4 linked regions of the Alligator mississippiensis genome follow. The main gene of each other region encodes a partner of the protein of the gene in region 4 in a complex. Links are inferred from orthologs where the notes say so. Each region holds a gene or a part of one and is shown on either strand. Other genes may lie near its edges. The genes, in order: CCDC153, GAS8, IQCD and EFCAB2.

The links.
Region 1: EFCAB2 (region 4) and CCDC153 share a complex: the UniProt entries of both Homo sapiens proteins name them as parts of the nexin-dynein regulatory complex. The link is inferred for Alligator mississippiensis from reciprocal best matches to the Homo sapiens genes DRC8 and DRC12.
Region 2: EFCAB2 (region 4) and GAS8 share a complex: the UniProt entries of both Homo sapiens proteins name them as parts of the nexin-dynein regulatory complex. The link is inferred for Alligator mississippiensis from reciprocal best matches to the Homo sapiens genes DRC8 and DRC4.
Region 3: EFCAB2 (region 4) and IQCD share a complex: the UniProt entries of both Homo sapiens proteins name them as parts of the nexin-dynein regulatory complex. The link is inferred for Alligator mississippiensis from reciprocal best matches to the Homo sapiens genes DRC8 and DRC10.

The regions. Positions count from the first base shown.
Region 1 is NC_081839.1:31,192,246-31,199,190, reverse strand, and holds the start of CCDC153 (coiled-coil domain-containing protein 153), read right to left. Parts: upstream 3,010-6,945; 5' UTR 2,963-3,009; coding exon 2,895-2,962; intron 2,331-2,894; coding exon 2,251-2,330; intron 1,714-2,250; coding exon 1,651-1,713; intron 1,115-1,650; coding exon 995-1,114; intron 610-994; coding exon 517-609; intron 282-516; coding exon 151-281; intron 1-150. UniProt on the Homo sapiens protein: Component of the nexin-dynein regulatory complex (N-DRC), a key regulator of ciliary/flagellar motility which maintains the alignment and integrity of the distal axoneme and regulates microtubule sliding in motile axonemes.
Region 2 is NC_081833.1:76,096,042-76,103,904, reverse strand, and holds the start of GAS8 (dynein regulatory complex subunit 4), read right to left. Parts: upstream 3,013-7,863; 5' UTR 2,958-3,012; coding exon 2,955-2,957; intron 1,893-2,954; coding exon 1,800-1,892; intron 1,695-1,799; coding exon 1,497-1,694; intron 1,383-1,496; coding exon 1,176-1,382; intron 211-1,175; coding exon 156-210; intron 1-155. Other genes in the region: DBNDD1 (dysbindin domain-containing protein 1), read left to right, coding at 4,714-4,744, 7,383-7,538, 7,690-7,827. UniProt on the Homo sapiens protein: Component of the nexin-dynein regulatory complex (N-DRC), a key regulator of ciliary/flagellar motility which maintains the alignment and integrity of the distal axoneme and regulates microtubule sliding in motile axonemes.
Region 3 is NC_081833.1:26,027,385-26,035,313, reverse strand, and holds the start of IQCD (dynein regulatory complex protein 10), read right to left. Parts: upstream 3,018-7,929; 5' UTR 2,975-3,017; coding exon 2,414-2,974; intron 1-2,413. Other genes in the region: TPCN1 (two pore channel protein 1), read left to right, coding at 3,500-3,608. UniProt on the Homo sapiens protein: Component of the nexin-dynein regulatory complex (N-DRC), a key regulator of ciliary/flagellar motility which maintains the alignment and integrity of the distal axoneme and regulates microtubule sliding in motile axonemes.
Region 4 is NC_081824.1:160,724,911-160,732,212, reverse strand, and holds the start of EFCAB2 (dynein regulatory complex protein 8), read right to left. Parts: upstream 3,005-7,302; 5' UTR 2,809-3,004; coding exon of another isoform or gene 2,778-2,808; intron 1-2,777. UniProt on the Homo sapiens protein: Component of the nexin-dynein regulatory complex (N-DRC), a key regulator of ciliary/flagellar motility which maintains the alignment and integrity of the distal axoneme and regulates microtubule sliding in motile axonemes.

The sequences.
Region 1 (6,945 bases), on a different chromosome or scaffold from region 4:
TACACATAGCTTCTGTGCCTGCAGGTCACCACCCTCCTCTCCCCATGTCTGGGAGCAGGAGGCAGCAGGGAACTCCATGAGCTTCCCTGCCCTTTCTGCCGGCACCTGGGGGGTCCAATCTCATTGCCACCGCCCTGCGGGGTGACTCACGTGCAGGATCTGCTCGTACTCAGTCTTCATGGTGTCGATCTTGGCCTGCAGCTCGGTGAGGCTCCGGTCCTTCTCGCCCAGCGTCCGCTCACTCTCCTCCCGGGCCTGCTGGCTCTGCTGGCGGCACACGGCTGCAGGGGGATGGGGGTGAGAAGGAGCAGGGCTGGGGGCTGAGCAGCTGCAGGAGGTAAGGGGTGGCTGGAGTGGGGGAGACTGTGGGAACTGGAATGAGCTGGAGTATCGATGCCCATGGATCATGCTGGGACATCGGGCACAGGGTCTAGTCTGACATCTCTGGCAATGCCTAGCAAGGTGGTGCTGCTAGGGAGAAGAGCCCACCATGGCAGGGAGAGGGGGGATTTGTACCGAGCTGCTCCTGGAGCTGTGTCACCTCGGCCTCCAGGCACTGGATGCGAGTCTCTGTCTGCCGCTGCAGCTCCTGGTACTGCCGGATCATCTCTGCGGGGAGAACAGGGCTGAGCCCGGCTGCCAGAGTCAAGTCCCTGGCTGTGTCACTTATACACCGGGTGCACAGGCCACTAAGGGACTTGCCCGTGGCCACCCAGGAAGCCTGTGGCACACCATCCCCAGCTCCCAGGGCCTGTGAAACCCCATGGCGGGCAGAGCTAGAGCAGTTCTGCAGGGCAGGGAGGGATGGGGGGCTCTGTAGCTAGGTGGGGGTGGCTGGGGGTAGCCTAGGGTGGCATGATGATGGCAGAACTGCTCGTCTTGCAGGGCCCTGCATGGAATGGAGCCAAAGGAAATATGGGGCAACCCATGGCACTGCTCCCAGCCTGCTGCACCCAGCCCAGCGTCCCCTGCACGCCTACCAGCTCTGACCCACCTTCATAAATGTCCCTCTTGTCCTCCCGTGCTGTCTCCAGCTCCTGCTCCAGCTCCTGCAGCCGCAGCTGCAGCCCCTCGCTGTCCGCCTTCGCCTGCCTGGCCACATCCCTCCGGAGCACTGGAAGTGACAGGCAGGTTAGGACCCTGCCCTGTGCTCTCTTCTTGTCGGCTGACCCTGGCCAGAAGCTGGCAGCATTACCCCGGCACAGCTGCCAGGAGCCCAGGTCTGGGGACCGCAGCCACGGGCCCCTCCTGGCGTGGGGGTGGGTGCTGGCTTGGACCCTACGGGGCTGCAGTGTGTGTCAGTGAAGACCCTCAGCTGGGCGACCATGGGACCAGTAGTGCTCCCAGTGGTGCAGGGAACTGCTGTGGTTGTGAGAGTCCCTGGCCCCAGCCCTGGCCCCAGCTCCTTGCTCCTGGGCCAATTCCTGCAGGCGTTCACCAGCTCTGTGGCCAGAGGGGATCCCTGCAACCATCCTGGGCTTGCTGTGCCCCAGGGCTTCCACCACCTCGCAGCGGCACATCTCAGCTGCGGGTCAGTGCATGGCAATGGTCCTAGATGGGGAGATGTCTGTACCACCCTGCCCACAGTCTGCCCCTCCTGTCACCTGGCAGGGCTCATGTCCCCACTGCCCACCCAGGCCAGGGGCTTACCCAGGTGCCTCCTGAGGGTGTCCACCTCCAGAGCTGTCTTCCGGGACTCCTCAGCTTCGCCTGCTGCATAGACAGAGCACAATCACGCATGCAAGACGGAGCATCGTTGGGCATTGGACACCTCCTCCCTGGGCTGGGGAAGCTCAAGTGTGTGGGGCAGGGGTTCAGGGTCCCCCAGGGCTCTGATCCAGAAGCCTTGGCTTTCCTATAGCTTCCATGTGAAGCTGGGGTCTCCCCCAGCCCTATCGGGGCCAGTCCAGGGCTAATCTCAAAACTGCTCTGTACCCACACCACACCTGGGAAATGGGGAACATGGCACTGGCTTCAAGCAGGACGTGCTGGTGCCTGTGTCCCATATACCCCCAGCACTGGGTTTCCCTGCTTATGCTGGTTACACCCCAGTGGGAGGCACGGGGCTCCTACAGGGTGGTCGGCAGCTTGTCCTGGCCCCTGGCTCCAGCTGCCTGCTGCCTCTCATCAGCCAGGAGGGGCTGGGCTGCTTTGGGATGGGGGAAGCTGAGAAGGGACATGGTGCATCCCTGCAGCCTGGGGGGCAGGACCTGGGGAAGGTTTCTGCCCATGCATGGGATTCCCGCTCACCTGCTGCAGGCTGCTTCTTCTTCTGTCTCCCTCCTTTCTTCCCCTTGCCCTTGGCCTTGGGGGCCATGCTCCTGGTTTGTCTGTGAGGAGAAACGGGCAAGGGGTATTGAGGCTCCCCCAGAGCTTCTAGGTGATGCTGCATGGAGGAGAGGCCGGATGGGAAGGCCACTTCAGCCTGGCATTTCCTGCACGGGCTGCAGGCATGGAGGGAACGGAGGCAGACCACGCTTGCAGCTGGGCTGTACCGTCCCAGGGCAGCACGGAAGGTAACCAAGACCCCCAGCAGTCCTCTGCCATGGGGCACTGGGGAAAGCGCACCATCCATCACTCACATCATCCCTCTAACAGGCAACACCTCCCCCAGAGATTGCTGGGCCCATGCCACAGCTGGGGAAACTGAGGCACAGAAAACAAAGGCGGCGAACCCAACAAACCAAATCAACCCAAGCCCTCCCCCCACAAATCCTGACTCCCAATGTCCCCTGCCCAGCCCATAGCCCCCCCCAATCCCTCCCAGCCTCCTGTTCTTCTGCTATTCCTCTCCATTTGCCGCACAAAAACCAGCCACATGCTGCAACAGCTCTGCAAGGGGAAGAGGCTTGTAGATGATCGTTTCCAATGAATCTCCCCCAAACCTCAAGTACCTGGAAGTGAAGGGCTTCTTGCGTGCGAGGCTGCAGATTTCCAGCAGGAAATGTAACTGGCCTGGCATGAATGGCGTGGGGAAAGCCAATCAGCTGGGAAGGCACAGCAGGCTGGTGTCGGGGAGCCTATCCCAGCCTGGGAAAAGCCGGCAGCTTTGCATTGCTAGGCAGCAGGCTGCTGGCTGCTATAGCGACCGGGGAAGCTTGGCAGCCAGGGGCTGGGCTGCAGGGTCTGAGGCAGGCGCAGGACTTGGCAGATCCCACGTCCTTTGCATCCAAGATGCTGGAAGGGGGAAGGCTGTGACATCTCCCAGCATCGCAGCACAGCAGCTGGGCCAGGGTCAGACGGGTTGGGAGAGCAGCCCACAGCCGCACGCCTGCTCTGAGACCCGCGTACACATGCAGAGCGGCAGAGGGTGACACACATGCACACAGAAACAGCTCCCAGGCTCAGATACACATGTGCACACACGCATGCAAGCACGTGGACTCGTGCTTTCTATGTGTGTCACGTTTTCTCCACGGAGGCCTTGCTCCTGCCCTTGGGGAGGTCAGGCTGTGGGGCCAGTCATGCAGAGCCCTGCTGTGTGACCGATTCCCTTCGCCTTTTCCTGAAACCTGTCGGGATGTCTTCAACCTGCTCTTTCCCAGGTGGATGGCGCCTCCCCACACTGCAATCTGCCTTGTTTAGGGCAGAGATGGGAGCATGTGCTTTGCCTCCCCTCCTATGTGGACTGCTCTCCCTCTGTGCCTCAGTTTCCCCATGTGTCAGATGAGGGTGGGACTCCATGGAGCACCTAGGTGACGACTTGAGCCAGACCCCTGGCTGGTGTAGGAGCCTGGCTGCTTGCACTGGTTGCAGGCCCCGTGTGTGTGAGCGAATCACCGGGAGCTTTGCGTGCATGAGAACAGATCGGGACTAAAAAATACATACATCTCAATCTAGGGGTCTAGATCTGGATTTTGTGACTCAACCTCCTCCAAGGCAACGGCACCACAGCTCTGCTCTTCACCTTTCTCCTTCCACAATCTCCCTCTAGCGTGCGCAGTACTGTGGTTTTGCAGGCTCAGGCCACCCCTGATGGAGGGGGAAGGGAACAGGGGAAGCAGAGAGATGAATTACAGCAGGGCTTTTGCTTTTGGCACCGTTGTCAACCAAAACACCCCGAGGGACACCGACAAGCTCCTGCACATTGTTCTTGAGCTGCTTTATTAGCTGGCCGTCCTCGCTGTTGGCTGCAGCATTTGGAGGGAGATGGATGGCAGGCTCGGAGCTCCGTGCTGGGCTGCGTGGAGCAAGCAGGTTTTCTCCCGGACAGAAGAGGAGCTGCATGAAGGCAGATGGGGCTCCACATGGGGAGAAAGGGTGTGTGAGATGAGACCCCAGACTCATCTGTTGCTGCTAATGTCTCCTGGCGCTGTGTCTTTGCTGCCCTCTTGGCACTTCCTCAGGCTTCAGGAGCACACTGATTCATAGATTCATCAACTGTAAGGCCAGAAGGGACCTTGGGAGATCGTCAGGTCCAGCCCCATGCACCAAGCAGGAAAGGCTCTTGCAAGGCATGATTATAGTACCCCACTATGGCTCTGCGGGAAGCAGCAGGTCCTCTCTGTGGGTCTTGGTCGCTGATTTTATGCAAAGCCTGCCTCTCAGGAGAGCTTAACTACATGTCCCATGCTGGGGCAGTGGAGACATGCTCCCACGACTCTTTCTGGCCAGGGCAGTCCTGTTCCCCAGCTAAGGACAGCCTGACTAAGTACCTACCCCGCATCAGGTCAGGGCCAGGGCAGGCAGAAAGTGTTGTGAAGAATTCCCCTGAATGCCCCACCCAACTGGATGAGGAGAGGGAGGACCACACCAGCAAGCCCAAGGCCTGAAGGCACAGGATCTGTGCCATGATGGAAGATGCCTTCTTCAGTCAACAGTTTTCCAAAGCCAAGCGAGCTCTGTCAGTCCCAGTGCGCTCGGCCCCTGGAGGATAATGCCATCGGCCTGGCTCCACTTCCGGATTTTTTTTTAATTGGAAATTTTTGATGCATAGAAAAAGGAACCTGGCTTTTCAAAATAGGGAACTGCTCCTGTTTTGCAACATCTGTACAATAATCTGCTCGCAGCTGAGCAACCCTGGGGGAGGGATGGGAGGCTACTAATGAAGCAACCGCGGTCAAGGAGCTGGGTTGAAGAAGCAGCAAATCCCTTCTTGAGTGCTAGCTCTGTTGCCTTCATAGAGGAACCGGAGCACGCAGGGGATTGCCAAACCAGCAGCAGCCGGGTTTTATACTGGGGCATTCGGTGTGAACAGGCAGAAATCTCTCTGATGAATCCTTTTGTGTTAAAAAGTGGTGATTTGGCTCAATGGGGATGTTGCCCTGATTTGTTTTGCTTTCCCTGAACTGTTTTTCAAGAAAGAAAAAAAAAAAGGGAAAATACCTCCTCTCAAAAAAAAAAATATATAGATAGATATAGATACACACACACACACACACATATATATTTGAGATGTTTTAAACAAAAGACATTGGTTATTTTTGTCGACTTCACATATCCCTCCTACATGTACGTCACTTTGAGTAGGGTCCATTGATAGTAATGCTAAATAAAAAGCTCGAACAAATCCTCCACTTGCTTCTAAACCAGTTTTACCATCATTTGTTGATGTGCCAAAAAGTGTGAGGGTGTTTTGATCTGGGACCGAGTCTTCCCCCCACCACTATAATTGCAAACAAACCTCTTCCCTCAGGTCTTGGCAGGAGCCCCTTTGAAATACATGCACAGGTGGCAAATGAATGGATGCTCAGCCTGGAAACTAGGCTCCTGACAGATTGGCATGCATGTGAAGGACCCAGTGGAACAATTGGGCAGATGTTTGCCTTGAGGTCCTTGGTCTGCATGTCCCCTGCACCTCCTGTCTTGGAGGGCTCTGGGCACTGGCAGCAGCCCTCCGTGCCAATGGGGCTTCACTGCAGCAGGAACTGGGCATGGAGGATTTTGCTGGGATGGAGCATGCATTATGCTCAGCCATTTCCCCCCTTGCAACAGGCAGGAGAGGGCCCGGGTGGTAAAAATCACAGTTAAAAATATCCTCTTTATTTAAATCCATTTTGTACAACTGCAAATTTACATTTGGGGGCTTAACCTTCTTCCCATTTCATGGTCTTCACATAGATGCCGTTTAATCAGCTCTCCAACTCGCTTTCTGATGGGGCAATCTGGGGTCTATGGGCAGACTGCGCTGTGTGAGAAGCCACACGGTCAAAATCCTCCTCAGTGCCAAAACAGACAAGCCCAAGGGCCTCACTAACCTCATTCCTATATGAACATCCCACCTGTGCACCCAGCGGATGAGAAACTACCCCGGGATGCGTGCCGTGGCCAGCAGCTCCCCGCGTGTTGAATTTCCCCAGTGCTGCAGTGCTGTTCCAGCCCAGCTCTTAGCTTGGACCCATATTCCCACACCCCCGGGGGCTCCTGCACAGCCCTTCATTAGGGGCCTTCACAGGCTGTCTGGGAGCTTAATTTGGGGAGATGACTTTTGCAGTGGGTGTATCTGCCATTGCACAGTATGGCAGATGCACTGACAGTCTCAGTCTCCTGCTCGTTGTCTGTGGCAAACTGGCTTTGCTGTAGAGCGAGAGATTTCACCTTGCTGCCGGTTTCTGAGAAAAAGAGGATTTATCCTCCAATGCCGCAGACACTTGTCGCACTGTAAGCACAGGCCTGGGGACCCTTCCTGGGAGTTCATGGAAACCAGCAGCTTCGGGGCTGATCCTAGCTGGTCTCGGCTTTCATGCTCTTGGGCAGGGATTTATTTCATCTCCTTCAAGTCAGAGACTGGAGGGGGGAAGGCATGAACCCCCGGGTGAGTCCCTCCTCTTCCCACCCCAAAGCAATCGGGACACAGCTCATTGGGAAGGTCCAGGGATCCCCCTCATGGGGACTCTGCAACTGCACAAATGGCAACCGGTCAATATTTCACGTGCATTTAAATCCAGCCAGATTTAAAATACATTTTAAAAAGCAATACTTAAAACTGGCAATGATGTAAATGCT
Region 2 (7,863 bases), on a different chromosome or scaffold from region 4:
GGCCTGCCCCCCACCCTCCAGCTGCTCCTGGCAGGGAGGCAGCACCAAGCAGGTCTCAGCCCTACAGCTGGGAGGGAGGGGAGGGAGGGGAAGGGCCTGCAGCCAGCCAGGGGCTGTGCGCCGAGTGTGAGGGGCACGGGCTGTGCCCGCCTGACCTTTCACTTGTCTCTCGAAGTCACAGCGCAGGCGTGTGATCTCTTCCTCCTGCTTCTGCCGGGGGCAGGTGGCACGTCAGATCAGGCCCCTGGGCACAGAGGGAGCTTGGCTGCCCCAGGCAGCCCCCACACCCTCCTCCCCTGGAGGCACCATTTGCGGGTGCCTGGGATACATGGCACCCAGTGCCTGCCCAATGCCCCCTGTCCCCCACGCCCGATGCTCCCTCCTTAGATGCTGCACAGCCCTATTGCTTTCCACCAGGGACTGGAGGTCTCCAGCTCTCGCCTGGCATGGCCTCAACAGTTCAGCCTCAGTGCACCTGCATCCCAGAGCAGCCCTGGGACTGCGAGCATGGGACCTGCCAGGCCCTGGTCGTGCCAGCTGCCTCTACACCCCTCAGCATCAGTGGCAAGGGCTGGATTCCCCATGCTGCATGAGCTGGCACAGGGGGCTGCTGATGCATCAGCCTGTTCCTGGAACCTGACTCTGCAGTGGTAAACCCACCGCATCTGCCCCAGAATGAAGAAGGGGCCAGTTTTGGGCCCCCCACTACAGAAAGGATGTGGACAAATTGGAGAGGGTTCAGTGGAGGGCAATGAAAATAGCTGTGGGGCTGGGGGACAGGACTGGTGAGGAGAGGCTGAGGGAACTGGGCTGATTTAGTCTGGAGAAGAGAAGACGGAGGGAAGACTTCATAGCAGCCTTCACCTCCCTGCAGGGGGGCTGCAAAGAGGACAGAGCTGGGCTGGTCTCAGTGGGGGCAGATACAGGACAAGGAGCAATGGGCTCCAGCTGCAGCAAGGGAAGTTGAGGTTGGATATTAAGGGAAACTCTCACTAGGAGGGTAGTAAAACACTGGAACGGGGTACCCAGAGAGGTGATGGACTCTCCATCCTTGGAGGTTTATAAGAGCTGGGTAGACAAAGCCTTGGCTGGGCTAATCGTTGGTATCCTGGTATCCACCCCACACCGTGCAGCCCAGAGCTCGGCCTCTCCCCACCCCGCTAGGCACCACATACCATGCGCAGGCCTTTCACCACCACCTCGTTGGCCAGCTCCTGCTCCTTCAGCTCCACCTTCAGGGAGCGCATGTCCCGGCGCAGCTCCAGCTCCTGGGCCCGGTGGTCCTTCTGCGCCAGCTTCATGGACACAGTGCCCTCGGTCCGCAGCTCCGTCAGGTTGTTCTGGTGCTCGTACAGCAGGTGCTTCACCTTCTGCTTGTACACCTGGGGGCGGCGGGTGGGTCAGTCCCCGGACAGGCTGGGAGCAGGGGGCACCTGGGGACATGCCCAAGTCAAGCGGGCGCTGCAGCCCTAACACCCACCCCAGGTCCCACTCACCTTGATCTCCACCTGGTGCCGCTCCTCGGCCTCCTCCATCTCGCGGTCCTTGTTGCGCAGCTCGGCCTTCTTCTCATCCAGCTGCCGCCGCGTGATGTCCCAGAAGGTGTGGATCTTGTCGCGCTCCAGCTGGAAGTAGTTGCGCTCCTCGCGCTCGCGGTCCAGCTCCTCCCGCAGCCGCACAATGTGCTCCTCCAGCTGCGGGGCCCAGGCAGGAAGAGGCATCAGGGGGGGCAGCGGTATCCAGGCTCGTCAGCACCCTTTGCTGCCGGCTGGCCCGGGGCACGCGGGGAGGGAGCTCACCTGCTCCTTGCTCATGTCCTCGGGCGCCATGCCGTCCACCACGGCCGCCGCCTTCCCCCCCTTGCCCTTCTTGCCGCCTTTCTTTTTGGGCGCCTGGGAACAACGCGCAGGGCTGAGCCGCGTGCACGGGGGAGGCAGCAGCGCTCAAGTCTCTGCGAGTCGGTAGATGGGGGGTGGGTCCTGACTGCAGATGTCGGCGGGTGTCTCCCTGCCGGGGGTCCTTTGCTGGGCAGAGCTGAGGGGCCCCGACTGCCTCTCCCCGCCCTGCGCGGTCCCAGGGGCCAGCGGGTATTAGGGTTAGGGTTGGGGGGGATGTTGCTGCAGCTGCAGCCCCGTTGTATTGGAGCTGTGCCCAGCACACAGCCCTGGGGACAGGGACGAGCCTGACCCAGCACCCAGGGGCCCCCCAGCTTGCACTCGGGAGGCCCCGCAGAAACCCCCCACCCCCAGCTTGCACCCAGCCCCGTTGCACCCAGGAGACCCCCCAGCTTGCACCTGGGAGGCCCCGCAGAAACCCCCCACCCCCAGCTTGCACCCAGGGGCCCCCCAGATTGCACCTAGGAGACCCCCCAGCTTGCACTCGGGAGGCCCCGCAGAAACCCCCCACCCCCAGCTTGCACCCAGCCCTGTTGCACCCAGGAGACCCCCCCAGCTTGCACTCGGGAGGCCCCGCAGAAACTCCCCACCCCCAGCTTGTACCCAGCCCCGTTGCACCCAGGAGACCCCCCAGCTTGCACCTGGGAGGCCCCGCAGAAACCCCCCACCCCCAGCTTGCACCCAGGGGCCCCCCAGATTGCACCCAGGAGACCCCCCAGCTTGCATTCGGGAGGCCCCGCAGAAACCCCCCACCCCCAGCTTGCACCCAGCCCTGTTGCACCCAGGAGACCCCCCTGCTTGCACCTGGAAGCCCCCTCCCCCAGAAGCCCTCCTACCTCCAGCTAGGAGCCCCCCCTCCCCTGCACCCAGGCCCCCTGCAACCAGCCTGCACCCGGGAGCCCCCCCAGAAGCCCCGCAGCCTGCACCCAGGCCCCCCGCTCCCAGCAGGCTCCCCGCAGCCGGGAGCCCCCTACACTCAGCCGCCCCCGGGGCCCCTGCAGCCAGGCTGCCCGCGCCCCGGAGCTGCATGCCCGCCGGCCGGGCCGGGCCGGGCCCTACCATAGCTGCGGCCCCCCCGGTCCCGACAACCGCCGCGGCGGCCTCGCGAGAGAGAGCCGCGGGCCCCTAGCAACCCGCGCGCGGCCCTGGCAACCGCCGCCGGGGCCTGGCAACCGCCCTAGCAACCAGCCGCCCGCGCCCCGCCCCGCCGCCCGAGCCCGGGCAGCGCCCCAGGTCTCGGGGTGCAGGGATGTGGCTGGATGGGGCCCCCTGGCACGGGGCACGGGCCGTAGGGGTGTAAGGGTGCAGGGGTGTGGCTGGATGGGCCCCCCAGCTCAGGACACAGGCCCGAGGGAGCTGGGGGTGCAGGGACGTGGCTGGCTGGGCTCCCCAGCACGGGGCAGAGAGGACGCTGGGCACGGAGCTGGGGGCAGAGGGCAGCCGGGGCAGCCGAGCAGGGAGCAGCAGGAGCCGCCTGGGCCGGATCAGGCTGCCCGTAGCCCCAGGAGCGGAGCGGAGCGGAGCGCAGGCCGGGCTCAGCTTGCAGCCTCTCCCCGGCGCTGCTGAGGCCCTGCCAGAGGCCCGACACTTGCACCGCGATGGCAGTCAGGGCCCTAGGGGCAAGGAGCAGCCTGGAGCTCTGCGGGGTGGGCAAGGGCCCAGTCAGTAACATCCAGGGGCCCTGGAGCCCGTGCTTCGCCTGCGATGCAGGGCCCTAGGCTGCCCTCCTGCCCTGTGCGAGGCGGCCCAGGCTGCCCTGACAGCGTTGCATGGGCTTTGGGACGCTGCCCCAGGGCTGGCGGGGCGGCTGGACTCCCGCAGCCTGCTCCGCACCAGGGCAGCGGGCACAAATGCAGACTGGTTGCTAGAGGAGCGCTGGTCTCACGCCCTGCAGGGCCCAGCACCGAGCTCAGGGTAACCACAGCCCACATCTGGGCTGCACACCCGGATGCAGCACGGCAGTGCCCTGATGCCCATGCTGCAGTCAGCAGCAAATGCCCCTTTGCCCGGTGCTGCCCCCGTGTGCCATGCCCCCGGCCCCTGAGAAGGCGCCCCATCTGGGCCCCGAGCCCCGCACAGGCAGGTGCAAGCAGGCTCCCAGGGACTCCTGCCCTGGCATGGCTGGGGAGCAGCCTGGCAGCTGCAGCGCCGAGCTGGGGTCCCCTGGGAGCTGGGCGTTTCCATGGCGCCCTGTTGTCATGGCACCTGCATCTGGAGCACCTGCAGCCTCCATCCTCCAGCACCTTGACCTTGGCCTGGAGACCGCACCCCAAGGGGGGGCTTAACCCCTTCACTGCCTGGTGCCAGCACGGCCGGGCAGAGCCCTTCTCTCCGGGGATCGGGCCTCTGGGGAAGGGAGGGGAGCAGGTGGCCTACCTCCCCCCACCACCCCGCCGAGGACCCCGGGCTCCCGAGGAGGCTGGGGGCGCGGGGCCGGCTTAGGACCACCCGCGCCGGGTCTGGCTGGGCTGCCGGCTTTGTTTGCAGGGAACCCCCAGCCCGCACCGGTGCCCGGGGGTGCATGCATGCGGGGCCGGGGTGTATGCTTGCGGGGCGGGGGGCAGGGTGCATGCATGCGGGGTGGGCGGGGTACATGCATGCGGGGGGGCAGGAGGCATGCATGCGGGGCGGGGGGCGGGCGCCTGTCTCCTCCCCACAGCCCGCCCCGCGCCCCGCCCGCCCGCACCCCCCCCATTGGCGAGGCGGGGCTGGCCGGGCGATGCGGGGCTGCGCGCTCCGGGGCCCCGGCCGGGCGGGGCGGGGCGGGCCGCTGCGGGCTGCTGAGCGCGGAGCGCAGCCCGGTCCCGCACCCGGCCGCATGGAGCCGCGCGGCGGGGCCGCTCCCCCAGGTGAGTGCGGGGCCGCCCCCCAGCAAGGAAAGTTGCGGCGTCCCCGGGCTGCCCGCACCGCACCGCACCGCACCGCACCGCGCCCGGCCCGTGTATGGGGGGCGGCCGGGGGCGGGGTGCGGAGGTGTCCCAGGGGCTGGCTGGGTGTGCGGGGTGTAGAGGGGGATCCGGGGGCAGGGGGCGTGCGGGGGGGTGTGATCAGGGGGCACCCGAGGGGGTGTGGACGTGTGTGTGTGGTCTTCTGCGTGCATGCGTGTGGGGTGTGGACGTGGCGTTGCACTGTCCTGGTGTGTGTGTGTGTGTGTGTGTTGCACAGGGGTGCAGATACGTGTGTGGAGGGGGGTGTTACACAGGGGTGCAGAGGTGTGTGTGAGCAGGGGGTATCCTGGTGGTGGGTGTGTGAGCAGAACACCCTGGGGGGTGTGTGCAGGCAGGCGGGCATGCTGGGGGGAGGGTGTCCCCCCGGGCTGTGGGTTACAAGCTGGGGCAGTGTGGGGCATCATGGTGGGGGTGCCTGTGGGCAGGGCAGGGGTGGGTGCTGTGGGCAGGTGCCCCCCTGCTGTGTGTGTGGGGGGGGGGGGGCGCATCCTGGGCCGGAGGCTGCTTGCACTGGTGCAGGGGCGTGTTGCTGGGTTGGGGCCCCCAGGCGTGCCGTGGTGCCAAGGAGGGGCTGTAGGGGAGTGGGGCCCAGCAGAGCCAGGCAAGGGCGTGGGCAGCGGGGCGGGCGGTCCGGTCCCACCGCAGGTCCCTCCTCTGCCCTCGACTGCAGGTGAACGTGAGTCAGCAAAGAGGAGACAGCAGAGATCCCCGCCCCGCTCCTCCGGCCGGGGCAGGAGAGCAGGGGACACTGTGCCACAAGGGGCTGGGGCACAGCGGGCGGCGGGAAGGGGGCCCCATGGCTGTGGCTCTCACAGCAGCGTTTGCTCCCAGGTCTGCTCCCCAAGTCCGCATCTCCCACCCCTGCCAGGAGCTCTGAGCCAGTGACTGGGGAGGGGGCTGCATCCCAGCCAGCAGGAGCCAGACTTGACCCCCTGCCACCAGTGAGGGGGTCAATCCTCTCCTTGCCCTGCACCCACTGCACTGTGCCTGCCCCAGGCTCCCCCTTGCCTCTAGCGGGATTTCCTGGCCTGCCCATGTGCCCCATCGCCCTCCTGGCACACTCAGGCCGGCAGCTGCTCCTGGGGGACTGCTGTCCTGCCCCGAGAGAACAGGACAGAGCATGCGAGCAGATGGTCAGGGAAGGCCTGAAAGGTTGCCTTGGTGGGCATGAGCCTGACCCAGCCCAGCCCGTCTCACCCAGGGGTGCCAGGGGCTGTGGCAGAGCAGGAGGGATCGGGCGGCCCCCGCGGGAGAGGTGGGGAGCTTGCTGCCCGGACAGTTTTTCTCCGGCTCAGGTGTTTGAGTTAAAGAAACATGAGGAGTCCAGTGTTGGCGCCGGCCTGGCCCCGACCCCAAGCTCCCAGGCGCCGGCAGCCAGAACTGGATCAGGATTTCCCATGAATAAAACCGTGAACGCTGAAAGATGCCTTAGGGAGCTGTAACAACCCAGCCTTACAGCCCTTGTCCGTGCCCAGGATGCTGGACCCTTGAGACCCCGACGGTGCCAGTGCTGGAGAGGCCCAGGCTGGCACCTGGCGGGACTGGCTCCCCTGCATGCCCCTGGAGAGCCAAGGGCCGCGGCCCGCGGGCCAGGCCACGCTGCCAGGGAGCACCCAACCGCCCCCGGTGTTGGGTCTGCGCTGCCGCCGGCGGCTGCGCGTGGAGCTGCCCGCAACGGCAGCCGGGCTGTGAATTATTCATCGTCTGGGCTGCTAAAAATATTCCGCTCCCCTCCCCCTCCCGAGCCACGCCGGCTGTGCACAACTGCACACACCCCTTTGCGGCCACACGGCGAGACCCCCTGCCCCATGCAGCCGTGTGCGGGGCTGGGAGTGGGGGGCAGCATCAACGCCGTAGCCGGCTTGGCCCCAGCGCCCCCCGATCTCCCATGCTCGTAGACAAGCCGCCCCTTGTCCCCGGCCTCCCAGCACAGGCTCCGCTTTTGTCTGCGGGGACAAAGGCCCAGCAGCGGGGATGGCTGGCGGCTGGCACGGTGGCCTCAGGGTCCCCACCATGAGCACTGGGCCCTGGTACCCGTCTGCATCCCCCCACCGGCCTGTCTGCCACACCTGGGCCTGCCCCAGGGGTCCCTCGGTGACACTGCTGCTCTCAGCCTGGGGGCTCGCTCCCCCGCCTGCTACAGAGCCCCACCAGTCCCAGCCCCCGGTGCAGACAGACGGTCCCTGCCTGCCTCGGCCCCACTGCCGGCAGCTGTGACCAGGACCCTCGCCCTGGAGCATCCCTGGCTTTCACGGAGGGCGCTGCGGGTGACAAGGGGCCAGGGTAGAAGCTGTCATGGGGAGGGGGCAGCTGCTCCAAGCGCTGGGGCTGGAGCGGAGCAGGGGCAGCTGCTGGGAGCTCCCCCAGGCCCCCTGCCCAGAGCTCAGGGCTCTTCTCAGCAGGGCTGGGTCAGCCCTGGGCAGAGGAGCCAGGGGGAGTCCGGCTCTGCTGCTACCAGGGCTTGACGGACAAGGAGGTCCTGCCACGTAGCCCCCCGGACGCAGCCTCAGCTTTAACGCAGCAGGGCTTGCTCTTGCAGAACTTGTTAGGGAGGCTCCAGCCCCAGAGCGAGTGGCCGCCGTCCCCATCCCGGTGCCTGTGCCAGCCCCTGGGCCAGGCGAGGAACTCCCGGCCGAGGAGCAGGGTGGCATCCCCATCCCCAGCTCGGGCCTGCTGCAGGTGGCTGAGAGGAGACGTGAGTATGAGACGCCCCGGTCAGGCCCCTCCCCGCCCAAAAGGAAGAGGGGCTCCTGCATGCCCTGGTGCCGGCCCCCAGCTGTGGGAGCCTGGGTGGGGGGTGCTGGGGGTCACGCTGGCCCTGTATCTGAGCCGGGCACCCTTCGCAGAGCCGCTGAGCAGCGTGTCCTCGCTGGAGGTGCACTTCGACCTGCTGGACCTGACCGAGCTGACGGACATGTCAGACCAGGAGCTCGCTGAGGTCTTTGCCGACTCCGACGACGAGAACGTCGCCGAGTCCCCTGGTGGTGAGCGTGCCTGGGCTGGGAGTGGGGCTGACCGCA
Region 3 (7,929 bases), on a different chromosome or scaffold from region 4:
AATGTGATATCTTTTATTAGACCAAGTAAATAGTTGGAAAAATTGTTCTTTACAAGCTTTTGGGCACAAACACCCTTCTTCAGGCACAGGGAGAGTCTGCTGGTGTTTGTGTACTCTCCTGGGTACAACAGAAGCTTAAGCCGATATGCAAAATGCAGGTCTGTGAAAATGCAAATGCGTGGCTGGAAAGATTAGAGGGATGGGAGTTAACAGGTGTAAGACAGGTATGGGGTGTGGGGAATGTTGACCTGGTGACAGACTATAGCTGGTAAAATGTAGAGGTTACCTGGGGTTATCGGATGTCATGCAGGTTATAATGTGCCATAAATCCAATGTCTATATTTAGCCTGCCATCTGATAACCCCAGGTAACTCTCTACATTTTACCAGCTATATTCTATCACCAGGGCAACATTCCCCTCTTCCCTGCCCCCTCCCCCTCCATACCTGTCTTGTACCTCTCAACTGCTATCCCTCTGATCTTCCCTGCCACACATTTGCATTTTCACAGACCTGCATTTTGCATATTGGCTTATGCTTCTATTCCACCCAGGAGAGTACACAAACACCAGCAGACCCTCCCTGTGCCTGAAGAAGGGTGTTTGTACCAAAAGCTTGTAAAGAACAATTTTTCCAACTATTTACTTGGTCTAATAAAAGATACCACATTTAGCCAAAGTACCTTGTCTGTCCGGGTATGACCAGTTTTTTTCCCACTGTTCCTCTCCCATTTGCAGACTCCAAAATTTAAGATCTAGGAAGTTCTTATTCAGAGGCTGTAACCCTGACTCTTGTGCTCGAGCTACTGATGCCCCTTTCCTCCAAGAATTTGTCCAGTCCCTTTTTGAATCTGGCTCAACTGTCAGCTTCCGCATATGGTGGCAATGAGTTCCACACTTTAATTACACACTGGGCATGTCTACATGTGCTTTTATGCACACCTAAACTGAATGTGCATTAGCTTAATACACATTAAGGTGATTTAGGTGCGTGTCTACACATGCATTTGCTAAGGCGCGTTAACGTGGGTGTGTGGACCGACTTGGGACTAAAGTTAGTCCCAAGTCAATAGGTACACACCGCATTAATGCGCATTAGCATGTCTTTGCGTTCGCTAATGCGACTTAGCTATTCATGTATAAATTTGATACCCACTTTATGCAGGTATCAAATTTAGGTTTGAATATCCCCACATCACCATTTTTAGGTGCGTTAAGGGGCGCACGTCTAGATGCGCCCCCTGAATGTGCCTTATATACTGCACATTAAATGCACATGTGTATATGTGCCCACTATGTGACAAAGAACTTCCTTTTGTTCATTTTCAACTTACTACTCTCTCATTTCATTTCGTGACCCTTAGTTCACATGTGGATGGTCTACATTTTTTGTGCGATTCAGCAGGAAATTGTATTATATAACATATACCAGGGGCCTTGTAAGCTCCAGCAACCTCCCCTTTATGAGAGGCAATGGGTGGATTAGCTTTGTGGTTAACCAGTTTCCTGGCAGTGCCCCGGTGTGCTGCTAGCCAGTTCTCCCAGGTTTGTTTTCCTGATTGGAAAAAAATGACCTGTACAGATTTTCATAGAAGCAAAAAGCTTGCAGCGATGATGCTGGCAGCCAGGGGGCCCTAGAGCACGCAGTCCAGGAGAGAAGTTAGCTGGCTTTTTTTCCTTAAGTGAAGGGATCGGCAGGGTCAGGAAAAAGTAGGGGCAGGGACTTTATGCCCTGCATAGAAGAGTCCTTCAGCCTCCCCTGCCACCCTCCCCTTAGCCAAGAAAATCTGCTTCTATGCTTGCCTGCATTCAAGTGCTGCAGTTCAATTCAGGCAGAGAACAAGCCAGGAGCACAACATGCCTCCCAAGTGCTTCATGGCTGGGCTTGTTCAGCCTGAAGCACTCAGGGGGCGTGTTCTGCCCCCTGCTTGGTTGGGAGGGGGACGGAAAAGCAGCAAAGCACACTGGCTGCCCGTACATAAGTGCCGTCTCCTGGGAGCCATTTCCCTCGGGCTGTCCCCAAGTTATTCCTGTCCCAGAGCAGCCACTTTTACTCTGGGGAAAAGAAAAAAAAAAGAATTACAAACTTGTGTACACTCCTGGTAGAGAACAGAGACTCTCCCTGGAGAAACTGAACATCAGTCCCTTAACAGAGGCCGGCCCAGGTCAAGCAGCAAGTCTGCGGCATCTAGGGCCCTGGGACAGCAGCCTCGGCGCTGCGCCGTTTATCGTCCAGCCCCGAGCGCTCGCGGGGCCGGAAGCAAAGCACCCTGGGACGGTGGAGGCCCCCCAGAGACGCTCTGCAGGGAGCTATTTTGCTCCTGAGGGGCCGTTTCCCCCGGGGCAGAGGCAGGGAGGTCTGTGCCGTCCACTCCTCTGCCCGAGCCTGAGCCCGAGCCCGAGCCGGCCCCGCACCTCCTCGTCGCGCCTGTGGAGGGCGGCGGCCAGATCCGCGCGCAGGACCGCCACGGCCTCGGTGTTGCGCTGGTCCCGCAGCGACACGTCGGCCGCCAGCCGCGCGCGGGCCTCCTCCTCCCGCGGGCCGGTCAGCAGCCGCTCCAGCAGGAAGCCGCGGAACTCGGTCAGGGCCCGCACGAACAGCTCGTCCGTGAGGTCGCGGGCGTACACCTCGTCGCGCACGGCCTGGGCGGCGCCGGGCTGCGCCTGCAGCAGCCGCGTGATGCAGCGCCCCGAGCGCTGCAGGCTCCGGCCGGGGCCGCCCGCGCGGCGCAGCGCGTCGTGCTCCGCCAGGGCGCGGCTGAGCGTGGGCCCGAGCGCGCGGGACAGGTCGCGCAGGTTGGCGATCACGTGCGGCAGGAGGCTGACGTGCTCCGCGCGCGCGATGGTCTGGTCCAGCACCGCGATCACGCGCCGCGTCTCCATGGTGCCCCGCCGCGGCCCGGCCTCCGCCTTTGCCTCCGCCTCCGCGGCGGCCTCCGGCATCTGCCCGCGCTGCCGCCGCACCGCGGCCGCCATGGGCGTCGCTGGGTTGCTAGGGGACGGCGCGCCCAACGGCTCGCCTCGTTCTTCACCGGGAGGCGGGACCGGACTCCCTAGGCAATGGGAGACGCCGGCTTCTTATGATGAGCGCGACCTGCAGCCAATGGAAGGCCAATACGGGATGGGGGGGCGGAGGAACCCAGATTGACCACCTCCGGGAGCAGAGAAGATGCCGCACGGGGATTGGCGAGCCGGCAGTCGCCGAGAGCCTATCAGCCAGCGGCTTGCGGGCATCAGCCAATGGGTGTTGCAGGGGGGCGGGCTGGGGCAGGCTGAGGCTAGGCGCCGGGCGGAGAGGGGCCGGGCGGGGGCCATGCGCGGGGCGCGAGGCGGCGGCGGCGGGCGCAAGGCGCCCCCTGGGCTCACGTGAGCGCGGGGGCCCCCTGGCGGCGGGCGGCCGCTCCGCGCCTGCCTCGACATGCCCCGGGCGGCGGTGGCGGTGGCGGCAGCCTGCGCGGGCGGCGCTCGGGGCCCGCAGCGCTGAGCGCGGCCGCGGGGGGCATGGCCGGCAGCCCGGACGACGACGTGCCCCTCATCCTCACCCTGGAGGACGGTGGCGGCCCCGCGGCCCCCAGCGCCGCGCCGGCCGGGGACGGGCCGCCCGACCACAGTAAGCTGCCGTCCCGTCCCGTCGCGTCGCGTCGCGTCGGGGGCGGGCGCGGGCGCACCTTGTGCCCCGGCCTCTGCGTGTGTGCAAGAGAGGGGCCGGGTGCCGCAGTCCGGAGCCCGGGGCTTGGAGATGGCGCTTTCCTGAGCGCGTTTGTGCGGAGTGGGGACCTCCTCGCAGGCGCCCGGCGGGGCGGCGGGTGGCGGAGTGCGGCGCCGCTTCCCGCGAGGAGGTGCTCGCGCGCGCGGCGCTGCCTGGCGTGACGAGTGGCGGTGCTGCGTCCGGGCGGGGCAGGCGGCTGACCATGAAGTTATCGGGAGACGTCGGTGTTGGTTTTCTGGAAGTGAAAGCGAGGGATGGGAACGGCGGCATTGCACACTCGGGGCACAGATGATTATATACCCATAGGGGGGTGTGTCCGTATGCGTGTATGCGCATGTCTGTAGGCATCCAGGTTGTAGCCCTATTAGTCTGGGGGAAAAGGCAATCAGGACTCATAGTAGAGATGATATCTTGTGTTGGACCAACAAGATTTTTGCAAAAAAAAATCTTTAATTGCAAGCTTGCGAGGTAATTTGCATCATCGCAGATCCTCACAGGAGGGGAGAGGCTCCAGACCAGCTATGAGCTGACTGCCCAGAGGAGTTTTCCATCTATTGACTCCTCTGTGAAATCCTATGAAATATGAACTTTCATTTCTACCCAGGAGAATGTCTACAATCTTTTCTCCAATGCCTGATGAAGGGTGTTTGTGGCTGAAAGCTTGCAGTTAAAGACACTTTTTTTGCCAAAATCTTGTTGGTCTAATAAAAGAGATCATTTCTCCTAGGAGTCCTGTGTGTTTATATGCACACGCACATTTCTGTATATATCATTGTGACCTGAGTCTGCAGTGTGTATGTGTATGCACACACGCACAAGTGGGGGGAGACCCACGGGGGGTGCACGGATGCAGTCGCAAATCCCTTTGATTCCTGTTCCCCACCCCCAAATTTAAAACTAGTTGCCTGAAAGTGGCAGCAGCATTTCTAGTGGCAGCAGTGCTGAGGGAGTCACTTGACTTCATGGCTAATTCATATCTACCCAAGTCCTTCTAATCTCTTGATTCCACAGATGTTAACGGACTCTTTCTTTTTTCTAATGGTCTTGATGTTCCACTAATTAAACTAGGTATCTAAGTTGTAGCCGTATTGCTCTAGAGCAGCAGTTCCCAACCTGTGGTACGTATACCACCACTGGTATTCCAACAGCCTGTCCGTGGTCTGCTTTAACAAATTTATTATAATTACTTTATATGACAAAAATGTTCTGGTGGTACTTAAGGTTGTATCATTTTTACACTGGTGATGTGCAATCTGTCAGTTTAGGAATCACTGCTGTAGAGGCAAAAAGATCAGAACTAATGGTAGAGGGGATATTCTTTATTAGATGTTTGCAAAAATGTCTTTATTTGTAAACTTTCAGCATACTTGTCACTTTTAGCACAAGCACCCTTCTTCAGGTATAGGAGAAAAGACTGTAAAAGTGCTTCTAGGTAGAAATAAAAGTTCATATTTCATAGGAGAGTTGAAGGTGTGGTAAAATCTCCTGTTTGAAACAGTTCATTTTATGTAGATTAGGCTCAGAGAAAAGTTGGAGTTGTCTGCTTACCTCCAAGTTTTGGCAAGTAGGATGTAGAGTCATATTTCCTTCTGACTTATGATGTTTCATATTTCACAGAAGAGTAAAAAGATGGCATGCTCTTCTGAGCAAGAATTTCTTTTGTGGTAAGCTGGGCTCTGTGATGATACAAATTATCTCAAACAATGGCAGGAGCAGGGTCTCAGGTTTCAGGTGGTAAAACTTCCTCCTTGTAAAATTATGAAGATTTAATTTTTAAAATAGGCTAAAATTCAATATCTTCCATGTGACAGGTATCCAGGTTGTAGCTGTATTGGTCTAGAGGCAAAAGGAATCAGAACGCGTGGTAGAGGTGATATCTTTTATTAGACCAACTAGATGCTTGCAGAAAAAGTTCTTTATTTGCAAGCTAATTGAGCTAGCCTTCCTTCTGCAATTCTGCTGTCTGTTAGCTGCTTCTGGTAATGTAATATGTTTTTCTGCTTAGATATCATTCAGAGTATTAATATTAGTCCCCCAGCATTCTGTGACTTTACTGGATAATTTGGGTGGTCAAATTTGGTGATTTGATGTATAAACCTCTCTGTTCTGTTGTGTGTCTTTTACAGTAATGCCAGCTCTCGTAAAATTATCGCGAGAGTTGCAATGTCTAAGTAAAATTAAGTTCGACTCATGATCTTGCATCTCAAGTCTCACCTCAAACTCTCAAGTCTCTGGATTTTTCCTTCTGGCGTATCTCATGCCTAACCAGGTCGAAATTGGCTGCAAAGTCTCTGGGAGCGCGGGTGGGGCCTAGCTGCATGGGGGTGCAGGGAGCCCTGCCAGCTCAGCACCAATCCTGGGGCTGCAAAGAGTGGGCGGCTGCTCAGGGCGTGATTCAATTTGGTGCAGATTTGGCGGCCAAATCCCCAAATCTGAATCAAATCGGAGGACCCTTTAATTTCTCTGAATCGAATCGGAACCCTCTGAATTGATTTGGAGAGGTTCAGCGATTTGGACATAGACACAGCTTTAAATGTTTTTTCTACATACCTCTAGGTAGCAGGCAGTTCATCAGTGTTGCAATACTGGGGCACATGGAGGGTCCCACAGGAGTGCAGGAGGGGCTCCCCAGCTCACTCGGCAGCAGACCTGGAAGTGGACCAGAAGCACTTCTGGTTGACCTCTGGGTCTGCCGGAGAGCATGCTGGGGGGGGCCCCCCTCAGCTTGGCGATTGGTGACTCCTGGGTCTGGGGGAGCACCCGGGGTCCTTCTGTGGCCGATTGCCAAGCCAAGCGGGCATGGGGGGGCGGGGACAGCGCGCTTCCCAGCAGACCTGGAAGTGGACTGGAAGTGCTTCTGGTCCACTTCTGGGTTCACCGCCGAGCACGGGGAGGGGGGGCGTCATGCTCCTGTGGGAAACTCCATCTGCCTCGGCTCGCAGTGTTCACAAGCTGCACCTGGTACCTCAAGGTATGTAGAAAAAACATTTAAAGCTGATTTTGAAGATTCAATGCTAATTCCGAGATTTTGATTCAGTTGAATTGAATCGGGGATAGTGATCAGAATCAGCAAATCAAATCACTGTCCCCTATTTGGGCTGAATCCATATTGAATAGGGCCCATTTTGCACACCCCTAGTGCATGCCTCCTCTTAAAGACCCCAAAGGTAGGGGAGAACACCACCTCTCTTGGAAGCCCATTCCAGATTCTGGCAACCCTTACCATGAAGAAGTTCTTCCTGATGTCTAACCTAAATCTGCTCTCTGTCAGTTTGTGGCTGTTGTTTCTAGTTACTCCAAGGGGTGACCTGGTTAACAGAGCATCTCTTCCTTGTTGCCCCCCCCCCCCCCCGGAAGAATTTGTAGGTGGCCGCAAGATTACCTCTCAGCCTTCTCTTGCAGAAGCTGAAGAGATCCAGGGCCCTTAATCTTCAGGCCCCTAACCATACGAGTGGCCCTCCTCTGAACCCTCTTGAGGTTGTCTGCATCCCTCTTGAAGTGCGGCACCCGAAACTGGACGCGGTATTCCAACTACAGCCTGACCAATGCCGCATAAAGAGGAAGTATCACCTCCCTGGACCTGTCCATCATGCACCTGCCAATGCATAATAAAGTGCGGTTAGCTTTACTGATCGCTTTATCTCATTGACGACTCATGTTCATTTTGGTGCCAACAATGACTCCGAGATCCCTTTCCGCTGCTGAGAACCTCCCCAGCCTGTAAGCATGCTGGTGATTCCTTCTCCCTAGGTGCAGCACCTTGCATTTGTCCTTGTTGAACTGCATCCTGTTCAGCTCCGCCCAGTTTTCCAACCTGTCTGGATCCGCTTGGATTTGTTCCGTACCCTCTAATGTGTTAACTTTATCACATAATTTGGTATCATCTGCAAATTTGGACAGAGTGCTTTCCATGCTCTCATCCAAGTTACTGATGAAGACATTGAACAGCACCAGTCCAAGGACTGAGCCTTGTGGGACTCCACTGCTCACATCTTCCCAGGTCAATATTGAACCATCCACCACCACTCTGAGTGTGACCCCTAAGCCAGTTTGCCACCCACCTGACCGTGTAATCATAAACTGAATGGCTGTAACGTAAATCTGTGAAACTAGAGTGAGATACCATATCAAAGGCCTTCTTAAAATCCAAGTACATGACATCTACCTCGATTCATGCATCTAAGCATTTTGTTTAATGCTATGGAATTGAAATGCACAGTTG
Region 4 (7,302 bases):
TAGCTGCATTCATCAGGGCTACTTTGGCTGACACTTTGATTCTAATTTGTTGAAGGCTCTCAGTTATGGAATGTGTTACCATTAGAAATCAGGATGAACAAAAAATCTTACTGCTATGTTATTCGATGCAATATTTTTTTAGTATTCCCCTGAAATTTTTGCAATGAAGTGGCCCTAGCCGGGATTCTTATCCAGGATGCCACAGCACCCTGAGGTGCCAAGAGATCTTTTCAAGGGTGCCCCCAAGTGCAAGAAGATAAGCAAGGTGTGAGGAGATAAGCAGTTAAGTGCAGGCTCAGGGTGGTCCCTGCCTGGCTCCTCAGCAAGGAGGAGAAATGATGTTTTTGGAATGGGATGCCACTCAATTCACAGAAATTATGGATCTGTGGCTCAAGGTTTGGACTCTTAAGTTATGGCAAGACCCATCAGCGAGCCATGGTAGAGATCATCCTCAAATTGAAGGATTGTCAATGACAAGTTGTGTTCTTGAAAAGAAACCCTAAATTTAACAATGCTGTTATAAAGACCATAAAGCTTAACGTATGTAAGAAAAACATTTTGAATTGAGGTAATTATTGTTTCGTAACTTCCTTCAGATGCCTAAGCCTTATAATACTGAGTGCTTTAGGAATGTCTGCAATGTCAGCCTCAAACTTTTCCTCACAGCTCTCCACAAGTGTTTCTGGACAACTGCACTACCTCATGATTTCTCATCCCCGTTAAGCACCTGCACATGACATTGGTCACTAATGAGCTGACTGGACAGCTAACATTTGGAGCCTACAAATGAGCAGCACTGGACACTGGTACAGGTCTCTGTGGCAAGAAGGAAAAGCGGGAGTAGTAGACATCTGTCCGTCTTACAAGACAATAGGATTGTGGCAAGTGAGGCATCAGCCTGCTTTACCACATCGTGGGTGAGGCCACAGAGCCCAGTTCCTGACTGATGCTCCCTTCCGAACTTGTCACACGTGAAGTTCATGTGGAACAATCCTGAGTGTGCTGCAGGCTCCTTTCCGCACCATGCAATGTTTGAGAAAGATTATGTGAAGAAAAGCAAAGTGGTGACAACAGTGCAGCATGTGCTTCCCTCATCTTTGGATGCCCTGACATGAGCTGCTGGTCCAAATGTATTGCCCAATTCACCAGTCTTGTGTGTGGTAATTCCCGGAGATGGAGGAGGGAGCTAATGACATACTGCCCGAGTCCCCAGGCAGTGTTGCCAAGTCTGAAATATGAAATTATTGTATTGGAAGCTCAATATTACCAGAGTTTTTCAGCAAGTATTGTACACTGAAAAATCATCCCAATGAGTACGCAAGTAGGTAGGCAAATAAGTCTTCTCATTTACTTTATGTTGCTCACTATAAGCAGTGTGTGAATTAATGGGGAGCTGGGGGGGAGAAGGGCTGAGCACCCCCCCCCTCCCATGAGAGGGGAGAACCCCTGTAAGATTTGAAAAATCATAAGGGGGGGTGGGGTGGGGAGAGAGTCCCTGATCCAGATTGCTCCTTCACCTAGGTGGACTTGTTAATCAATGAACCAGTTTAATTTTTTTTTTTTTTTTTGCAGACACCCCAAGAGCCAAAGTATCATTCAACCCCTGACTAATACCACTAATATATAGATAGGTAGGTAGATACCTCTATCTATCTATCTATAGTGATGTTTCACAAATGTTAGGGTCAGAAGGGACCTCAATAGAACATCGAGTCCGACCCCCTGCATAGGCAGGAAAGAGTGCTGGGTCTAGATGACCCCTGCTAGATACTCATCTAACCTCCTCTTGAAGACCCCCAGGGTAGGGGAGAGCACCACCTCCCTTGGGAGCCCGTTCCAGACCTTGGCCACTCGAACTGTGAAGTTCTTCCTAATGTCCAGTCTAAATTTGCTCTCTGCTAGCTTGTGGCCATTGTTTCTTGTAACCCCCGGGGGCGCCTTGGTGAATAAATACTCACCAATACCCTTCTGTGCCCCCATGATGAACTTATAGGCAGCCACAAGGTCGCCTCTCAACCTTCTCTTGCAGAGGCTGAAAAGATCCAGTTTCTCTAGTCTCTCCTCGTAGGGCTTGGTCTGCAGGCCCTTAAGCGTAGAGCGGCCCTTCTCTGAACCCTCTCCAGGTTATCCGCATCCCTCATTTTAATCACAGAAAAATGTGGATTTGGGGTTTCTTTTTTTTAACCGAAAATTGGGAATTTTTTTTAATCAGAGAAAATCAAGATCCCCATTAATCCTACAAAGGCTGCAATGGAAAGTATTGTATAAATGTGATAACCCCAGCACACCTAGCAACCCTGTCCTCAGGGACCTGCGCCACACACATGGGATACTACAGCATAACAGGCCTAAATAAGGGCGCCTCCGGCCACAGCGCGCGCCTTTATCAGCGCCCGGCCCCGCCCCTCGCGGGCGCTGACGTAGCAACGGCTCCGTTGGGGGTTGGACAGGGCCGGGCAGCCCTGGCGTGGGGGAGGGGCCGGAGCCCCTCGAGCCCCTGGCCCCCGCTCGGCTCTGGAGGCCGCGCAGCCCCGCCTCGCTCCCTGAACGCGGGGGCGGGACTGGCCCGGGCAACGCCGCCCCTGCCCACCGCCCTCACGCGCATGCGCAGAGCGAGCGCGGCCGCGCGCAAGGCAGCGTCCGCTGGGGAGCAGGGGGAAAAAAATGGGCGCGCGTGTGCTTATTCCGGAGGGGACAGGGCCCTCGGGCGCCGTTGGGGCCCCTCTGGGGCCCCTCCGGCGGGTGGAGGTGGGGCCGGGGCCGTGCCGGGCTCTTACCCGCGGTGGCTCCCTCCTTCTCTTCCGCCATGGCCGCCCCTAACTGTCGCCATGGCAGCGCAGAGGCGCGCCCGGCCGAGGGGGAGGCCTGCGCACGCCCCCAGGCGGGGGGCAGTTCAACCGTCTCCCCCTCCCCAACGGCGGTTCCGTCCCGCGGGCCGGGCGCGGCCTGGTGAGCCTGCGCCGCCGCCGGGGACCGACCTCCGGATTCCACCCCCAGCGCAGTTGGAGCTAACTGCGGGGATGACGGCCATGCCCCTCCCCCGGGATCTCCCCTGGCCGCGCCACCCGCCCTCCGGTTGGGGAGAGAGAAACCGCGCTCCTTGCAAGCTGGGCCGCGGCAGACACCAGGGTGTAGTCGCAGCTCACAGACTAACCCTACTCGATGTATATGTATACGTGCATGCACCTGCATATAGATGTTCAGCTAAACAGGCCTCGCATGATATGTGTGTGCTGGTGTATACGCATGCACACATGCATAACTTAAGGCCTGTTCAATGGTAGGTGATAGGCAGTCTGTAATGGATGCGCATCCAATGTGTTCAGGGGTTCCCAGGGCCTGTTCCATATAGATAGAGATATGCAGATATAGATATATCTATAGATAGATAGCTCTATATCAATACTTCGTGTATATGTGTGTGTGTGTATATATGATCTAGATATATGTGTGTGTGTCTAAATAAATATCAATGTGTATATATAAATATATCTATATGTGTATAAATACAAACATACATTTATATATAGATAAATGTAGATGTAGATATATATCGATAGTTATATGTTATAATCTATAGATATATAAATGTATGTGTATATCTTTATAGATATATATCAATATGCGTGTGTATAATATATCTTATAGATACCTATATAGATAGATAGGTATACACACACACATAAAATGTGTGCTAGAGAGAGGGAGAGCGCATGGTTTCCCCAGCTGTAACTTACTTCATCACATGTGGTACAAGTCTTGTGTAGACTAGTTACAGTCCAGTTCAGGACCTACCTTGGCCTCTAAAGCAAGCCACTGCTTACAGATGCTGATGTATCTCAGATTCTACCCTGCGCTCTGCCTACCTTAAGGGAATACAGGACAAGATACAAAAGTTAGAACGTGGCAAGTTATTTTCCATGGAGAAGTTTCAGGTGCCTAGCTGCATTCTGATTCTGAATCCCAAACCCAGGGATTCAGCTGTTGCCATCATTTTACTGTGCTGATTTAAATATCAGCAATGCCACCATAATAATAATAAAAATCAGCCTGCTCTTTGCAAACACTACTATACCCTCCTGCCATATATTGTCTGTTTGAAGGCTGAATGGAAGAGAAAAGGAGTACTATAAAACATCCTATTTTATATTATAAAGTGTTTTGTTTTGAACATGATAGTTTTTTGCCACCAGTTAAAGAAATCCACATGTATGCGAGAAACTTTTTGTTCTTGAAAAGACACCAAACTATAGCTAAAACATTAAGTACACCTGATGCGATTCCAGCAGAGGTCTACAAAAGGTGGTCACAGCCTCACGAAGAAACAAACCAAGATCTGCAGTATGTGGGCACAGGAGGTAGTCCCTCAAAAATTCAAGGATGCCTCCATCATTTACCTGTACAAGAGGAAGGGAAATCGTCAACTCTGACAACCGCAAGGGAATCTCCCTCCTCTCAACTGCTGTCAAGATTCTTGTGAGAATCCTCAACCCGCTGACTGACCATTTAAACAACCTGAGAGTCGACGTGGCTTCAGAAAATGATGAGGAACCACTGACACGGTGTTTATAGTCTGGCAAAGCTTCAAGAAAAGTGCCAAGAACAGAACATCTACCTTCTCACATTAATCGACCTAGCCAAAGCCTTTGACACAGTGAACCGTGAAGGCCTCTGGGAAATCATGAGGTACAGATGCCCTGGAAAATTCATCAGTATGGTTCGACAGTTCAACAATGGCATGATGGCGCACACATCCTTGTGAATGCTCTGACCCCTTTCCATTCACAAATGGCGTCAAGCAGGGCTGTGTGTGCACGCCTACCCTTTTCAGCATGGTATTCTATGTAATGCTGTTGGATGCCTTGCAAGATGATGACCTTGGTATGGGGATCAGGTACTGTTTCAACTGAGACATCTTCAACCTACGCAGACTCCAAGTGAACTCCAAAGTCCAGATAGCCACGCTTTGTGACTTCCTCTTTGATGTTGACTGTGCATTATGCGCAGGCTCACAGGCTGACATGCAGCGGTCCATGGACCTATTCTTATCAGCCTGCGACAACTTCTGACTCACTATCGACACGAAGGAGACCGAAGTGATATTTCAGCGTTTTCCTGGCACAATACCCCAGGAACAACACGTCTCAGTTAAAGGCCACAACTGTCAATGATCAACAAGTTTGCCTATCTAGGCAGTATGCTCTCCTGTGCTGTCCACATCAAAAATAAAGTCAACGCAAGGCTAGCAAAAGCCAGCGTGGCTTTCGGCAGACTCCGTAAATCGGTCTGGGACCACAGAGGCATTGGCATGTCAACGAAACAAGTTTTACAAAGCCATCATTCTCCTGACCCTCCATTATGCCTGCAAAAGCTGGACTATCTACCAGTGTCATGCCAAGAAACTAAACCGCTTCCACCTGTGCTGCCTGTGAAAGGTACTAAAGATCAAGTGGCAAGACAAGATTCCAGACACTGAGGTGCTCAGAAGATCAGCTCTCCCCAGTATCCACAACCTCCTGAAACTGGGACAGCTAAGATAGGCCGGCCATCTTTTAAGAATCCCCAACACTTGGCTGCTGAAGAAAATCTTTTACGATGAAATGTCAAATGGAGTACGCTTTTGCGGTGCACCAAAGAAGCGGTACAGGGACACCCTAAAGGTCTGTCCCTAAAGAGTTTCAGCATTGACCCTCTTCCCCCCCCGTCCGCTGGATGCGGTCACCTTTGCTTGTGAAGGACAAACAACTAAATGCGTCCATTGGCATTCAAGGGAAATCCCTACTTTAATTTTGACTGTAAATTTCGCAGACATGTTTGCCATCCATGGTTTTTCAGGCTCAAAAGCAGCTGTGAAAGTTGAGAAATACAAAGATAATGGAATCAAATTGAGCTACATTGAGAGTATTATGTTTGTTATTTCAGAGTGTTAAACGTTTCAGTCAAGGGTTTGATGAAATGCAACTGTTCCAATATTTCACCTATTATGACATTTCTTAGACCCTTGTTGGTCTAGCCAACTATACTACTTTGTGTGATGTTTAAATGCAGCAAAGCAGAAGTGGCTACTTCTCTCAACAGACACGTACAGTTATGCAGCAAAATAACAGAACATTCAGAACAGGACCTCTGCTTAGTAAAACAAATTACTTTTTTTGTAGCCTTTGATACTTACAGGAAGGAGCAGCAGTTCAGTGATGTCCCTTATGCCAATTTTTCTCATTTTCCATGTTATCAAACATGGCACAGAAGAAAAAAGGTATGAGAAACTTCAAAGAATACATCACTAGTCTATCAGGACAACATTGTATACTCTGAACAAAATACTACATCCTTTTGAATGATTATGAATCATTTGGAAGCACTTAGGTGAGCTGACCTAAACTTCAGGAGAGTGTGAACCTGCTCCTGTTGAAGCTGTTGAGGGATGTGGGTTGGGGACAGTGGCTAAATAGAGGAAAGAAGGGAACTTAGAAGAAGAGTTCCAAGCAGTACATCTTTACCTCAGTCAAACCTTGTTTCATCTTAATTATAGAGGTCTTACCATTGAAGTGAAAACCTACTCTCAGTCAAGTTTCTGTTGTGGGTCAGTTATGTTTGAAACTAAGGAACAGAAAGAATTCTATTTCAAAACTAACAGCAGGACATTCCCATTGCCTTCTTTCATAGTCCCAGTTGTAGACTTTCACTCACCATTACTCATCTTTACCTGGAATTGGTATTGACGATTTTATTTTCCCCTGGTCATCTCATTAAAAGGGACAAGTCCCTTAGAACTCCTGAACAAATTGGATGTGCTTTTATTATGGGGTGCTTACCACATTAGTCTAAATATGCCTTGCATAATCCTATTCTACGCTTTATTTAGGGTCTTATATCCAAACCACAATCATTATATGTGAAATCTTGTATTGTTATAAACAACAATTGCTTGTCACTGCTGTTTATCAGGGGTTTCAGACCTCACAGTAGCCAAAGACAGCAGGAGTAGCTGAGACTGCTTTTTATGCCTTGATGTCAAACCAGCAAGCCAGTGATTTCACAGAGGCTTCTACCTTGTGCTTCTTAGCAGGTTAAGGGCTTTAAGTTTGTTCTCCCTCTCAGGCCTGTTTTCTCGCTTTAAAGCATAGGCTGCAGAACTGACATGTAAAAGCAAATTGTTGAAACCCATTTTAATTCATATTCCTGTTTGCAATGGCTGAGTTGAGGTTTCACTCATGGTCAAATTAGGTCATTTACACTGCAGATCTTAGTCCGGTCCTGAGATTCCATGGGCACTGGTTCTGCTTTCTGCTTTCTTTAATA